2 linked regions of the Rhinolophus ferrumequinum genome follow. The protein of the gene in region 2 interacts with the protein of the main gene of each other region in a pairwise test. Links are inferred from orthologs where the notes say so. Each region holds a gene or a part of one and is shown on either strand. Other genes may lie near its edges.

Region 1 (6,876 bases), on a different chromosome or scaffold from region 2:
GAAGATGCTGCGCATCCAGAAGGAGCACCGTGTCAACTTCCCACGCTCCAAGCACCTGACGGGCGAGTGCAAGGACCTCATCTACCGAATGCTACAGCCGGACGTCAACCGGCGGTTACACATTGATGAGATCCTCAGCCACTGCTGGGTGCAGCCTAAGGCCCGGGTCCTGTCCTCTACAGCCATCAAGGAGGGGGAGAACTCCCAGGGCACTGAGCCCTCGGATATCCCTGAGCCTGGCTCTGACAAGAAGTCTGCCACCAAGCTGGAGCCTCAAGAGGAGGCACAGCCAGAGGCAAGGTCTGAGTCACAACCCGAGGAGGAGACGCTGCAACTGCAGGTGTCCAAGCAGTTGGAGACCACAGGCGAGCAGCTGAGCAGGGAGACAGTGGAAGAGCCCCCCGCACAGCCTCCAGAGACGCAAACCTAGTAGGCCTCTCCCACGGCCCATGGGCCCAGCAGGGAATGAGGCAGAGCTCACAGCTTTGAGCCTGAGCTCCAAAAAAGCCAAGGGACAGGTCAGATAAGGAAAACAGACCCCGATGAGTCACTATTTTCGTGTTTCTTTTCCCTCCCGTTGAACTAGGCAACCCCCATTGCTAAAGAAGCAATAAATCACTATATTATTGCAAACCTGAAGGTAAATGTCTTTGACCTGGCTGACTGCAGTCGCCCAGGAGAGATTTCCCCCCTCCCCCTCAGCACTTGGGAAAATATATCTCAATGTGCCCAGCCCTGACTATGACCTGACCATGTCCTCAGGCCCTAGACCAGAGCAGAGAGCTGAGTAAGGAAGATGCTGCTTCAAGAGGGAGGCCATGAGAGCAGTGCTGGGGTGGGGAGGAGACACAGAGAAGACAGGAGGATGAAGAGGCTGCCTACAGAGGATTGGGGGGCTCCACACGGCTGCCAGTGGGGAGTGACCTGCAGAGGGCATGTGGACCAGCCTCTCAGCTTCTCTTGAGCTCCTCACCCTGGTGGGCAACTCAGCTTTTCTGCTCTGTCCACCAGGGGTTCCGCCATGTCCAGCTGGCACCTAGTTCTCAGTGGTGCTCTGAGTCATCCTGCCCTGTGGTCATTTCCTGGGCCCAGGGAACGCAGCCACACTCCAGCCTGCATGTCCCAAAGCTACTGTGTGGCCTTCACAACCCCCTATTCTCCTCTAGTCCCAGTCTGTCCCCAGGGGTGACGCTCCCTGCCAGAGTGAATAAGCTGACACTGGCGAGTAGGAGACAGGACAGGTGTTCTCACAATGCATGCCGGGCAGCTGCGGCCATCGGTGTCCCTCAGAGGGAGCATTTAGCATCACTGGCTGCCCTGCACTGTAGAGCCCTGCAAACCATTTCTCAGGCAGCCCTCACCTCAGCCGTGATGGCCTTTCTCTTCTTCCTCTGCACTCAGCTCTGATGACCTCGTATGGACCTGCAGGGTGAACACACCAAGGGGACAAGAGCCTTCAGACTCACCTCTCCCCCGCCTTCTGCCCAGGTCTTTGTCTTGGGAAGACCCCAACCGCCAGCCCCTTGGGAGAAGTGAGACCCAGTGAGTGCCCTGGACTTGCCCTCTGCAACCCTCCCCACGTCCAATCCACCACTCTGCCTGGTTCCTCCTCCCATACAGCCACCTTCACACATTCTGTCTCCATGGTCCAGTGTATCATGGCTCAGCCTCCACCGAGGCCTCCTTCCCTGCCCTCCCGTCACATCTCATAGCACCCAGTCTGGCTCCCACTGCCCCAGGAAGGGCCCCAGAGCCTGGACTTTGAGGTCCTCCCAGGTATGGCCCTCTCCTGGCTTCCCAACCCCCTCCCTCGCCTCACGTCCCACACATACATGCCATGATCATACTTGGGGACGCATTCCTGCAGCCCTTGCCCCCCTCTCCAGGCTCAGTTGAGGGGCCATGGCCTCCACAAGGCCTTCTGGGGGTCCGAACCGCACTCGGCAGCCAGCCACTGTGAGCTCTGCCAGGACAGGCCAGTGAGCGCCCAGGGTCCGGGCACAGAACAGGCCCCGAGTAACACTGGAGCGGCCACCCATTTTTTTCAGTGAAGACTGAAGGCCCCAGGAAGCCAGAATCATTCAAGTTGTTTGGTGGTGTAGCAGAATTGCAAAGTGCGTGGAGCCAGCTGAGATGGTGACGTCCTGAGGAGAGGCTCATAAACCTCCTCCCTTCGGTCATCTCTGCCACCTGCTACGGTCTTTGGGGCAGTGGGTAGTGGCCAGTGTGTGGCAAGAGGCCCTAGGAGTCTCACTGCAGCCCAGCCAGGAGGTGAGCCTGGAAGGGAGGGGGTGCAGGAAGGCACACCAATTGTATGCTTTCCAGGTAGGGAGGCAGCTCAGAGAGGGTAAACAAGTACCTGAGTCACACAGCATACAGTGGCAGCCCAGCTGACTCCCCCAGGTGACCATGTGCCAGCCACTCCTGTGAGCTGCTCAACCCACTGGGCGCAGCCCTGGATCAGACCCCTTCAGTGACCTCCCCCCCAGGACTTTAGGATCAAGGTCATCTCCATGGACGCTGTGGCCCACAGGGCTCCCTCCCACCCCACACTCTTACCATACTGTCCTTTCAGGCCACCATGTGCGCTAGCAGCTCTCCTCCTCCTGTGTGTGGCTAACTCAGCCCTCAGCCTTCCCAGCCTCCCCGCGTCTGGCCCCGTTTTGTACTCACAGCTCCGTGTTTCTTGGTGTCATGGCAGTCACCACTGGGCATTCACATTCACTGGTGTGACACTGAACCTCCCAGCCTCTGGGCTCCAGGAAAGCATGGGCCCTGTCTAGTTCATCAGTGTACCCCAGCACCTGCAACTGACCCTCAAATGCCTATGGAGTGAATGGACAAGTGGCCACCCACTTTATGGAGGAAACCAAAGCTCAGAAGGAGTGGCCTTCCCAGAGTGTGCAGGTCTCTGGCCCACAGGACTACAGGTTGGGAATCTCCTGGAGGTCCCCTGGTCCAATCTAACACCCCCGCCTTCCAATACAGAAGGAATCCCTGCCTCAGCATTCATAGGCTGAGTGACGCCACCCACCCCACATCCAGGCAGCTCCACTTGCATGACACTGCGAACTGCCTCCACCCCGTGTTCCCAAGAACCAGAGTCCACACTGTCTGGGCAAAGGCAGGACATGAGGGGGCAGAATCTAGAAAGTGGGTCAGTGGAGTCAGACATGCAGGCAGACATGGCCTCCTCAACTGAGACAAGAAGGCAGACATGCAGGGGCACCCCAGATAGAACATGGGGGCACAGGAGAAAGGGGGGTCATGCTACTGGGTCCTGACTGCAAATCATCACAGCCAGCCCCTTGTAGGATACAAAGGAGTGAAGTTCTGGTCATTTAGGCCAACAAAGAGCCCCCAGGAGAAAGGTAGGCACCAGCTAAAGCTGTTAACAATGGAAGTTCTAAGGAGCTGGGATCGGGACTCAGGGAGGCCTGGCGGCTGGAGGGCAGTTGCCTGCCTTGCTGGGGCCAGTCACTCCTGCCTGGCACCTGGACTCTGGCTGCCCTGCCCCTGCCATCTTTCACACAGACCTCCAGATACAGGGAGCTCCCCGCATGCTCTAGGTGCATCCACGTAGCCATGCTCTGGCCACACATCACATCTGCCTGGCACCTCCTGCCCCTCGTCCACCTCGTGGAGCCCTGCTGATCCTCTGTGCCCAGCGCTGTCATCCGCCCCCACCCACCCACACAGAAAAAGGCCTTCCTCTCTCCTCTGAACACCAAGCACGTGGCACACCTGTCCTGGCCACTTGCTGTGTGTGGGCACAGGATGTCTGTGATGGAGGATAAATGAACAGCAGAGCTTCCAAAGGACCTAAGGAGATGGACACAGGAGGCCATGTTTTCCAAAGCAGAACTCCACACTCGTGTCCTGAAAAAGGGTTTTCACATTGTTTCCAGGCGCAAAAGACAGTCTGAGATGAAACGATGTGCTTTCCCAGGGTTCCAACAGCCACAACACGCCACTCCTCACAAAGGCCCAAAGTGACACAATTGAGGACTCCTAAGTGCCCAGGTGCTGGCTCTTAATGGTTGAGGTTCTGGGTACTGCCAGGACCCCCACACCCAGGGCCCCACCCACGTGCTGAGCAGAGCACGACCCTCCTCTGTCCCCCTCTGCTGCCCAATCCCCACAGGCCCGCGCTGGTCTGGCCTGCTCCTGCCGAGTCAAAGGCATTGGCCTCCACTCACCCCAAAGCCCATTCTCTATGTTGCCATCTGAAAACGTGACTTGGGTCACAGATCTTCCTGCTCCGGGCCCTGCAATGCCTGCCATCACTCAGGGAAAAGCCCTCACTTATCTTCTCCCCACCACCCTCCTGACTGGGAGTCAGCCATTCTCAGACCCAGCAAGTCCTCTCCTCTCCTAGGCTCTTCCCTACCTGGATAATTCACTATCTTGTCTACTTGACTGAATCTGGCCCACCCTCCAGGCTGACCCCCAGTCCTTGGAACACACATCTGCCGGTTCAGGGCTCACAGCAGCCCCAAGCCCTGCCTGCCCTCGCCCTCCACACACGTCCAGCTGACTGCGGCAGCAGCAGCAGCAGCAGCACTCATCCACCCAGCTCTCTACCCCAAATAGGAGCTGCTCTTATCCACCGCACTTGGATCCACCGCCGGCCTGGCCAGACCAGGGTGGTCCCTCGCAAGCACCACCCGTTCTGAGGACACAAGCCCTCGACAGGGTTTCCTTCACATCCCAAAGAAGCTGCAGGAAATTGGCCCCAGTGGGACAAGGACCAATGCAGGGTCTCCACAGCCAGGAGAAGGAAACTGACATGGGGCTAGTACCCTGGCTAGACCTGGGAAGCCCCCATCCATGCCTGCCTCGTGACAGGGAAGCCACCGCAAGGAGGAGGAGCAGGGAGGGTTACCATCGTCCCGAGTGCCAGCATCCTTGCTGTGGGTGGGGAGTGGGCGTTCCTGCCAGGCCCGCCTGGCTTCTAGGGTTCCAGGGGCCCTATTCCCCCCAGCGCAGTCCCCACTCCCGGCAGCCTGGCTTTATGACTTCACGTGCTGAAGTCACTTGGAGACAATGCTGAGCGTTCCACTCCTCAAGGCCGGGCCAGCCCAGCCAGACGACTCCCCACACTGTAACTGAGGACAATGCCCGCTGGCCCATGTTGGGAGGGGATGTAGAGGGTAGCGGCGCCAGCCGCTCCTGGCACCATGGACGATGCCGCGGTCCTAAGGAAGAAGGGTTATGTCGTTGGCATCAATCTTGGCAAAGGCTCCTATGCAAAAGTCAAATCTGCCTATTCCGAGCGCCTCAAGTTCAATGTGGCGGTCAAGATCATTGATCGCAAGAAAACGCCTACGGACTTTGTGGAGAGATTCCTGCCTCGGGAGATGGACATCCTGGCAACTGTCAACCACCGCTCCATCATCAAGACCTATGAGATCTTTGAGACCTCAGACGGGCGCATCTACATTGTCATGGAGCTGGGCGTCCAGGGCGACCTCCTCGAGTTCATCAAGTGCCGCGGGGCCCTGCACGAGGATGTGGCACGCAGGATGTTCCGCCAGCTCTCCTCGGCTGTCAAATACTGCCATGACCTAGATGTCGTCCACCGAGACCTCAAGTGCGAGAACCTTCTCCTCGACAAGGATTTCAACATCAAGCTGTCCGACTTCGGATTCTCCAAGCGCTGCCTACGGGATGGCAGCGGGCGCATCATCCTCAGCAAGACCTTCTGTGGGTCGGCGGCGTACGCGGCCCCCGAGGTGCTGCAGGGCATCCCCTACCAGCCCAAGGTCTATGACATCTGGAGCCTGGGCGTGATCCTCTACATCATGGTCTGCGGCTCCATGCCCTACGATGACTCCGACATCAAGAAGATGCTGCGCATTCAGAAGGAGCACCGTGTGGACTTTCCACGCTCCAAGAACCTGACGGGCGAGTGCAAGGACCTCATCTACCGCATCCTGCAGCCAGACGTCAACCGGCGGTTACACATTGATGAGATCCTCAGCCACTCGTGGTTGCAGCCCCCCAAACCCAAAGCCATGTCTTCTGCCTCCTTCAAGAGGGAGGGTGACAGCAAGTACCGGGCCGAGTGCAAACTGGACACACGGCCAGGCTCGCGGCCCGACCACAAGCTGGGGGCCAAAATCCAGCACCGACTGCTGGTGGTGCCCGAGAACGAGGACAGGATGGAGGAAAGGCTGGCCGAGACCTCCAGGACAAAAGACCATCACGTCGCCGGAGCCGAGGTGGGGAAGGCAGGCACCTAGGGTGCTGAGGGCCGGGGGACGTGGTGCATAGTGGTGTCCCCATAAACTAAGTAAGCAGGTAGGAGCTGAAGAAGGCACAGGTGCAAGGAACAAGTAAAATCCGTCAATTAAACCACTATTTTGATTACGTTCTATTAGCTTTCTTCTACTTAGTAGCAAAGACATTAATTATTGACCAGCAAATAAACCACAAAGTGTAAACAAGCATTGAGAGCGCCCCCTGAGGAGTCTTTTTCTCTAGCACTCAGCCGACCACCCTCCCTGCGGCACGGGGGTCTCCAGCGTAGGGGTCCAGGGACCAGTGCTCAGGCACAGGTACTCATGGAGAGGCCTTGTGGGCACGGAGAACACCGCGGCCATGGCCCACCCGCTAAGCCCCACCGGTCTCCCTCTGACCTGCCCGCGCCGTGCTCCAGGGCTGGCCAGGTGCACGTCTCCCACCTCAGGTGCAGCACAGCCCACCCTGACTCCCTCAGAGCTTTTCCTCAGAATCCTCCTGCCCCTCCCCCCTCCCTTCCCCCTGAAGCACCCCCTCCATCCAAGACCTCTGATCTGCACCGTCTCTACGGCCTCCCGATTGCCCCATGCATCAGCCCTATTTTGTCACCTGTCACTCCCCAGGGCACACTTC
Region 2 (7,220 bases):
TCTTCCTCTCTCTCTGGGTTTCTGCCCCCTCCTCTCTGCCTGTTCCAGCTTTCTCTCCTGGTGTAGCTCAGGTGCTGAGTGCCTGTATGTTCTTACTGTCCACTTTCTCACTGCTCCTGCACATACCTTGAGGTGTTGGCCATCATTATTTCTTTCACAGAGAAGGAACCTGAAGCCCCATAGAGATTGATACTCCCCTGCAGCCCCACAGTGAGCTGGTGGTGGCATCAGGCCTTGATCCCAGCTACCCAGGGCTCTTTCTCAGACGTCACAATCCACGGGGGGGGTGTGGGGGGGGATGTGACTCAGAAATAGCTCATGGGAGGCAGACCTCTGCAAGTGCGGCGTGAGTGATGGTCTCAAACAGCGAGGAAACTGCTCTGGCTGGGGGAGGGGATGTCTCCTGGGCCATCCATCCTGCCAACTCTCTCTGCCCTGTTCCCTTCTCTCCATCTGGACCCTTGCCCAGCCTTCTCTTAGGCCTCCCTGCCTCTCTCTGCTCTTCACACGTCTCCCACCCAGCCCCAGAGGAGTCTTCCTGGGAAGGAAAGGGCTTTTTCTTTAGTGTCAATCCCACCAGTCCTGGCCCTGCTTCTTACAAGCTCTCTGAACTTGCAGATGTCACTCCACCTCTCTAGACCTCAATTATTTTTGTTTTCATCTTTAAACTGGTAATGACACCACTTCCCTTACAGAACTTCTAAGAGAGGAAAATGTTAGATCCCCACTATAGTGACATGGCACAGTGCCTGGCACATACTAGGTGCTCAGTAAATGGGAAGGGGGTCAATACCCCAAGTCACTCCTCTCTCTCCCCTGTCCATGGACCCTCCATGGCTCCACATTGCCCTCAGAAGAACACGACGTTTCTCAGCCTGTGTGGCCTGTACCCTGCCCCTCTCCAGCCTCTTCTCTCTTACACGCCACACTCCAGCCACAGGGACAAACTTGCACTTAGCCCCCTTACACGGGTTCTTTTCAACCCCTAGCTGGAACACCCTTCACTGTCTTCTGCCTGGGGAATACCTTTCTTATCTTTGGGATCCAGTCTGTGTGTTGCCTTTTCTGGAAAGTCTTCCTTGACCCTGGCCGGCTGGGCCAAGGCCTCCATTTCCAGGGCTTCCACAAGTGACCTCACTGTCCCCATCAATGAAGGGTGCCCCCACCCCCTACCCCTGATTCCTAAGCTTGGCTCCACTACATACAAGCTTTATGACTTTGGGTATGCTCTTTAACCTTTTGGGGCCTCGATATCTTCATCTGTGAAATGGAGGGCAAATAATGATAAGAACCACCAACATTTATTCTGTGCTTACAGCTGGCTACTGTGCTAAACATTTTACATGAATGAACTGCACTTCATTGTCATGACAACCGCATGAAGTGGGTACGGTTATATCCAGAACTCTGTCTTGTGTGCTGCTATTTTTCTGCTCCTAGACCAGTGCCCGGCACCTCATAGGCGTTTTAGAAACACATTCATTTCCATTTTACAGATGAAGAAACCGAGGCTCCCAGAACATAGAAAGTGCTCAGTAAATGCTAGTGAATCTTATTAGCATCATTATGACCATGGTTATTGGTAGTGTAATTCTTAGTGTCCATGTCAAGCCCAGTTCAGGGTCTGTCTGGCCCAGGAGAAGCCTGGGAGGGGGTCAGGTTGATGGGGGAGTTAAAGGACCAAGCTATGGTACAGTGCCCCAGTCAGAAATTCTATAAATTCCCTTAGATCTTGTTCACCTCCCAGTTTTGCCCCAGATTCTTAGCTGAGCCCCTTAGAGAACTCCTACTCATCCATCAAAGCCCAGTTCCAACACTGCCTCCTCCAGGAAGCCTTCCTTGATACCCACAGTCTACTTTGAGGGGTCCTTTTCTGGGATCCCCAGTGTTACCTCCATTGTGGAGTTTATTACCTCTGTCTGTGCCTGTTGCCCCCACTAGACGGAGCTTCTCCCGGGCAGGGACCTAGCATGACTCCTACGTATGACCCCAGCCTCACCCCAGACATTGGGAAGTGACTGGGTGAACTAAAGACCAACTCCCCGGCAGCAGGCATCATTTACCAAGGATGGAACAGATTCATGGCTGGCTGTTAGGGGAGAAGGAGGCAGTTCCTCTGGGCTTTAAAGAGTGACCAGAACCAACATGACCACGTCCCCCAACTCCTCAGTATTTGCCTACCACCAGGGTGAGGACCGTCCCCCCAGCCAAGTGCCCCTCACCAGTATTTCTGTGATGTCTGGGTCATCTGGAGCCCAGGGTGAGGTGGGTGAGGCAGGTGGCACAGGCAGTGCCAGCAGGCCGCTGTCGTCTGTGGTAGAGTCTGTCCCCGAGGAGTCAGTGGGCTCCATGGTGGCCAGGTTGAGCAGGGACACATTGGTACAGGCCGAGGACCGTTTGAGGTTCAGGCACCAGTGCATTGGCTCATGGGACATCCGAGGTTCCACCCTAGGGAGGAGAGACAGGCAGGAGGGTCAGGATGTAGCCTCAGTGGGGTACGGTGCCTCCTGCCTCCCTGTCTCCAACTCCCTACTCTGATTCCAACCTTACCACCTCCTTTCTTCCTTCTCCATCCCCGCTGCCTACTTTCTTCTTTTAATGTCCCCCCTTCTGATTTTTTCCTTCCCCACTTTTACCTCCCTGCCATCGTCCCTGCTCCCTTCTACCTCGATACCTCCCCCTCTCTTTATTTCTCCTCCCCCACTGCCCTCTTGCTTGCCCCTTCCCTGTCCCCTCCTTTTCTCCCCCTCCCCTCCTCCAGCACCCACGGTGGGACTCCTGCTCTGTTGGAGGCACTGCTGGGCATTAATTAGGGCCGTCCCTGACAGGGTGCGACAAACCCACCCGTGGAATGACACAGCCTTCTTTTTCTTCGCATTCCCCTTGGCTGGGCTGGTCACCCCCCCAGGAGCCTCAGGGACCAGCTGGGAGTGGCTGTCGACCCCCGCAGGGGGGTCCCCAGCCTCATGGATCTCTTTGGACTGCCAGATTGTCTTCACCACCACGCTAGCCATGGCGTGTGGGGGCCCTGCTCCCAGGGGCTCCTTCCTCTGAGACGCTCCACCTACTCTGGCCACTGACCCTCAAAGTTCCTGTCCCCACAAGCCTGCCTCACAAAGGACCCAACCACTGAGCCTCATTAAGTGGGGGGTGGGTACAGAGGGTGGGGGAGGTGCTGCTGGCTCAGCACATGGAGGGGTCAGGGGGGTGGTCTCAGTGAACCCTTCTCCTCCAGGATTCTGTTTCTTCCCCGATGTGTCCCTCAGCTTCAGAACCTCATGGAGTTATTCATTCTAGTTTAGAACTTACAAAGGATGGGACCACTGGTTCTTGGGAGGGGTCCAACTTCCTTCTCCCTGAGGCTAACTGTGGGGTCACCCATCCCCCCATATTCATACTTGATTCTTCATGCAATCCCCTGGACTTGGCACTTTCCCAGCATCTGGAAGATGGTGGTGAATGAGGGTGGAGCCCCAGCCCTGGAGGTTCTAACATTCTATGGGGGTTGGGGGAGCTGGGATAGGGCCGGCAGGCAATAGACAGAAACACACAAAAATACCAGATGTTGGCAGGTAATATAAAGAGAATAAAAACTGGGTGATGGTCATGTGGGCATTGTCGAAGCTCATTGATTTGTGCACTGGGGATTTAAGCCTTATATTTTTTTATTTTTTAGATTTTTTTTATTGGGGAAGGGGAGCAGGACTTTATTGGGGAACAGTGTGTACCCCAGGACTTTTTTTTTTCCCCAAGTCAAGTTGTTGTCCTTTCAATCTTAGTTGTGGAGGGTGCCATTCAGCTTCAAGTTGTTGTCCTTTCAGTCTTAGTTGTGGAGGGCGCAGCCCAGCTCCAGGTCCAGTTGCCGTTGCCAGTTGCAGGGGGCGCAGCCCACCATCCCCTGCGGGAGTCGAACTGGCAGCACCCTTGTGGTTGAGAGGACGCGCTCCAACCAACTGAGCCATCTGGGAGCTCAGCGGCAGCTCAGCTCAAGGTGCCGTGTTCAAACTTAGTTGCAGGGGGCAGAGCCCACCATCCCCTGTGGGACTCGAGGAATTGAACTGGCAACCCCGTGGCCGAGAGCCCACTGGCCCATGTGGGAATCAAACCGGCAGCCTTCGGAGTTAGGAGCATGGAGCTCTAACCGCCTGAGCCACCGGGCTGGCCCTAAGCCTTTTATTGTATGTGAATTTTGCCTATTAAAAAAAGAATCTATCAAATATATGGTGATGGAAGGAGAACTGACTTCAGGTGGTGAACACACAATGGAATTTCTAGATGATGTAATGAAGAATTGTACACCTGAAATCTATGTAATTTTACTAACAATTGTCACCCCAAAAAAATAAAAAAAAAAAAAAGAATCTAGGGGTGGCCGGCTAGCTCAGTTGGTTAAAGCATGGTGCTCTTAACAACAAGGTTGCCGGTTCGATCCCCACATGGGCCACTATGAGCTGCGCCCTCCACAAGTAGATTGAAACAGCTACTTGACTTGGAGCTGATGGGTCCTGGAAAAACACACATAAAAAATAAATAAAAGTTAAAAACAACAACACACAAACAGAATCTAAACAAACATGGAACTCTAGTTAATGGTAGGCATTGAAGAATTTGGGTTTGTACCAGTCTGCTGGGGCTGCTGTAAAAAAGAACCGCAGACTGAGGGGGTGGAGGCTTCAATCACAGAAGTGCATTGTCTCTCAAGTCTGGAGGCCAGAAGTCCAAGATGGAAGTGCTAGCGGGCTGGTTCCTCCTGAGGCTGAGAAGGAGAATCCAGTGGCAGGCCTCCCTCGCCTTGCTTCAGGTAGCCTCAGGCATTCCTTGGCTTACAGATGGCCATCTTCTCCCGATGTCTTCATATTTGTCCTCTGTCTGTCCCTGTCTATACCTGTTTCCAAGTTTCCTCCTTTTTAAGGACACAGCCACATTGACTCGGGGCCCTCCCAGACGACCTCTCTTAACCTGATCTTCTGCAAAGACCCTATTTCCAAACAATGCACATTCACAGGTCCTGGGGGGCACAATTCAACCTACCATAGGAGGAAGTGCACTGATGTCTGCAGCGTACTGTGAATGAATCAAAAACACAGAATGAGTTGATGGAGGGAGGGAAGGCCAGATGGACAAACGTGCAAAAGAGTGAAATGTTAATGGCATGATTGAGGCGGGGGGTATGTGGGTGTTCACTGTGCGGTTGTTTTTACTTTCTGAATACTGAGACATTTTCCTAATAAAATGCCGGGGAAGAAACAGGGTGATGCGGATGACATGGTATGATGAGCGGGGCTTGCGTTTAAAACAATGCCGTGGGTGTGGGGAAGTGACATGGAGGGGGTTATAGGATCAAACAATAAAGGTCTATCTTAACCATGGTGGGAGCTGGGTATATGGGGGTGCATTATACCCTCTGCTTTGGGGCATATTTGAAAATTTCTATAACAAAATTTAAAACATTTTATTTGCATTTATTTTTTTCTTTTATTAAATGTATTGGCGTAACAATCGTTAATAACAACATATAACATTCAGGTGTACCAACATTATAATTTGACGTCTGTGTATTGTGAGCCCAAAAGTCTAGTCTCCTTCCCTTATCATATATTCCCTTATCATATATCACCACCCAAAGTCTAGTTTCCTTCCCTTATCATATATTACAATTAAAAAAAAACACTGATAATGTGCTTGAGAATGAACACATTAGGGAGATCAGGGAGGGCTTACTTTATTTTGTCTGTTTGTTAATTTCTTTTGTTCTTTAGATTCCACATATAAGTGAGAACATATGGTCTAGGGAGAGCTTACTTTAAATCCCTAAGTCTAGAAGTTCTCTCCTTAGCAGGGCCATTGAATTGAGACCTGAAGGATAAGGGGCAGCTATGGGGAAAGCTGCAGGAGGGGTGTAGAGATGTGTCTGGAGGGTCAGAATGGCCAAGAGGGAGGACAGTGTGGCTTGAGTGTTTAAGCTGGGGAAGGACACCACTGACTGATGTTATAAAGAGCAGCTGGGAGAGTGTGGAGAATGGACCGTGGGTAGCCAAGATGGGAGCAGGGAGAGCAGCAAGGGACGTCACTGCAAAGTTTCAGGTAGGGTTTCCAGGCGGGAATTCCCGCCTGTTTTCAGGAATTTTTTTTGCTTTCCCGTTCCCGAATACTGATATATAAACTGTTTTCTGTTCTCCACGATGAATCGTTTCCACAAAGTGACGGCCAATAATACTACCAACCACCTGGGTTCAAGGAGCCGATTTTCCCGATTTCCCGACCAAATTTTCTCGAGATTCAAGAACGGAAAAAGCGAAAAAATTCCAGAGAACGGGCAGGAATTCCCGCCTGGAAACCCTAGCGATAAATAGGAAACATGTCTAAGAGATACATTGTGAGTAGTATGTTTATTTCCCATTGTGGGTATTACTGGCTTCAAGGAGCCGATTTTCCTGATTTCCTGACCAACTTTTCTCAGGATTCGGGAACGGGAAAGCGAAAAAAATTTCCTGAGAATAGATGGGAATTCTTGCCTGGAAACCCTAGTTCCAGGCAAGAGATGATGGTGATGGTGGCCTACACGGGGCGGGGCAGTAGTGATGTAAGGAGGTGGCTGGCTCTGGGATATGTTGTGCCCTTGGTTTGAGGTGACAGACAGGAGGGATTCTAGCGAGAGTGCCTGGGTGATTGATGGAGGGCCCATTTGTCAAAATGGGAAGACTGGGGGTGAATACAGTTTTTCTGGAGAAAGTTGAGAGTTGATTTGCTCAGGTCAAAGTCTTAGAAGCTCTTGATGGTTCAATCCATGAGCTCCTTTAAGACAGAGCTGCTGTGTCTTAAAACCAAAATGGACTTTCCCAAACCTCATCTAGACCACCAAACGTGGATTTGTTTGTGGCCTGGTCTTAAAACTTAGCAGTGGGTCAACCCCTGAGCTCCAAAATGTTCTTTCTCAAATCTGGTCCTATAATTCTATGCCATCCAATATCAATGCCACTATGAATGGCCTGTGTCTACTGAGGGCTTGCAATGTGGCCAGTCTCAACTGAGATGTACTATAAGTAAAAAACCCTGGATTTCAAAGACTTAGAAAAATAAGCATGCCAAATATGTTGAAATGTAATATTTGGGTATATTGGATCAGATACAATATATTATTAAAATTAATTTCACCTTTTCTTTTTACTTTTTTTTTAATATGCCTGGAATAAATAGAAATTTATACCTGTGGCTCCCAC

What was found. The genes of interacting proteins can lie anywhere in the genome.
Region 1: the proteins of TSKS (region 2) and TSSK2 interact in binary tests that used the Homo sapiens proteins (3 or more experiments, as listed by UniProt). The link is inferred for Rhinolophus ferrumequinum from reciprocal best matches to the Homo sapiens genes TSKS and TSSK2.

What each region holds. Positions count from the first base shown.
Region 1 is NC_046308.1:23,772,095-23,778,970, forward strand, and holds TSSK2 (testis-specific serine/threonine-protein kinase 2), read left to right. Parts: upstream 1-4,955; 5' UTR 4,956-5,180; coding exon 5,181-6,245; 3' UTR 6,246-6,373; downstream 6,374-6,876. Other genes in the region: TSSK1B (testis-specific serine/threonine-protein kinase 1), read left to right, coding at 1-430.
Region 2 is NC_046298.1:44,808,179-44,815,398, forward strand, and holds the start of TSKS (testis-specific serine kinase substrate), read right to left. Parts: upstream 3,015-7,220; coding exon 2,845-3,014; intron 2,449-2,844; coding exon 2,223-2,448; intron 1-2,222. UniProt on the Homo sapiens protein: May play a role in testicular physiology, most probably in the process of spermatogenesis or spermatid development.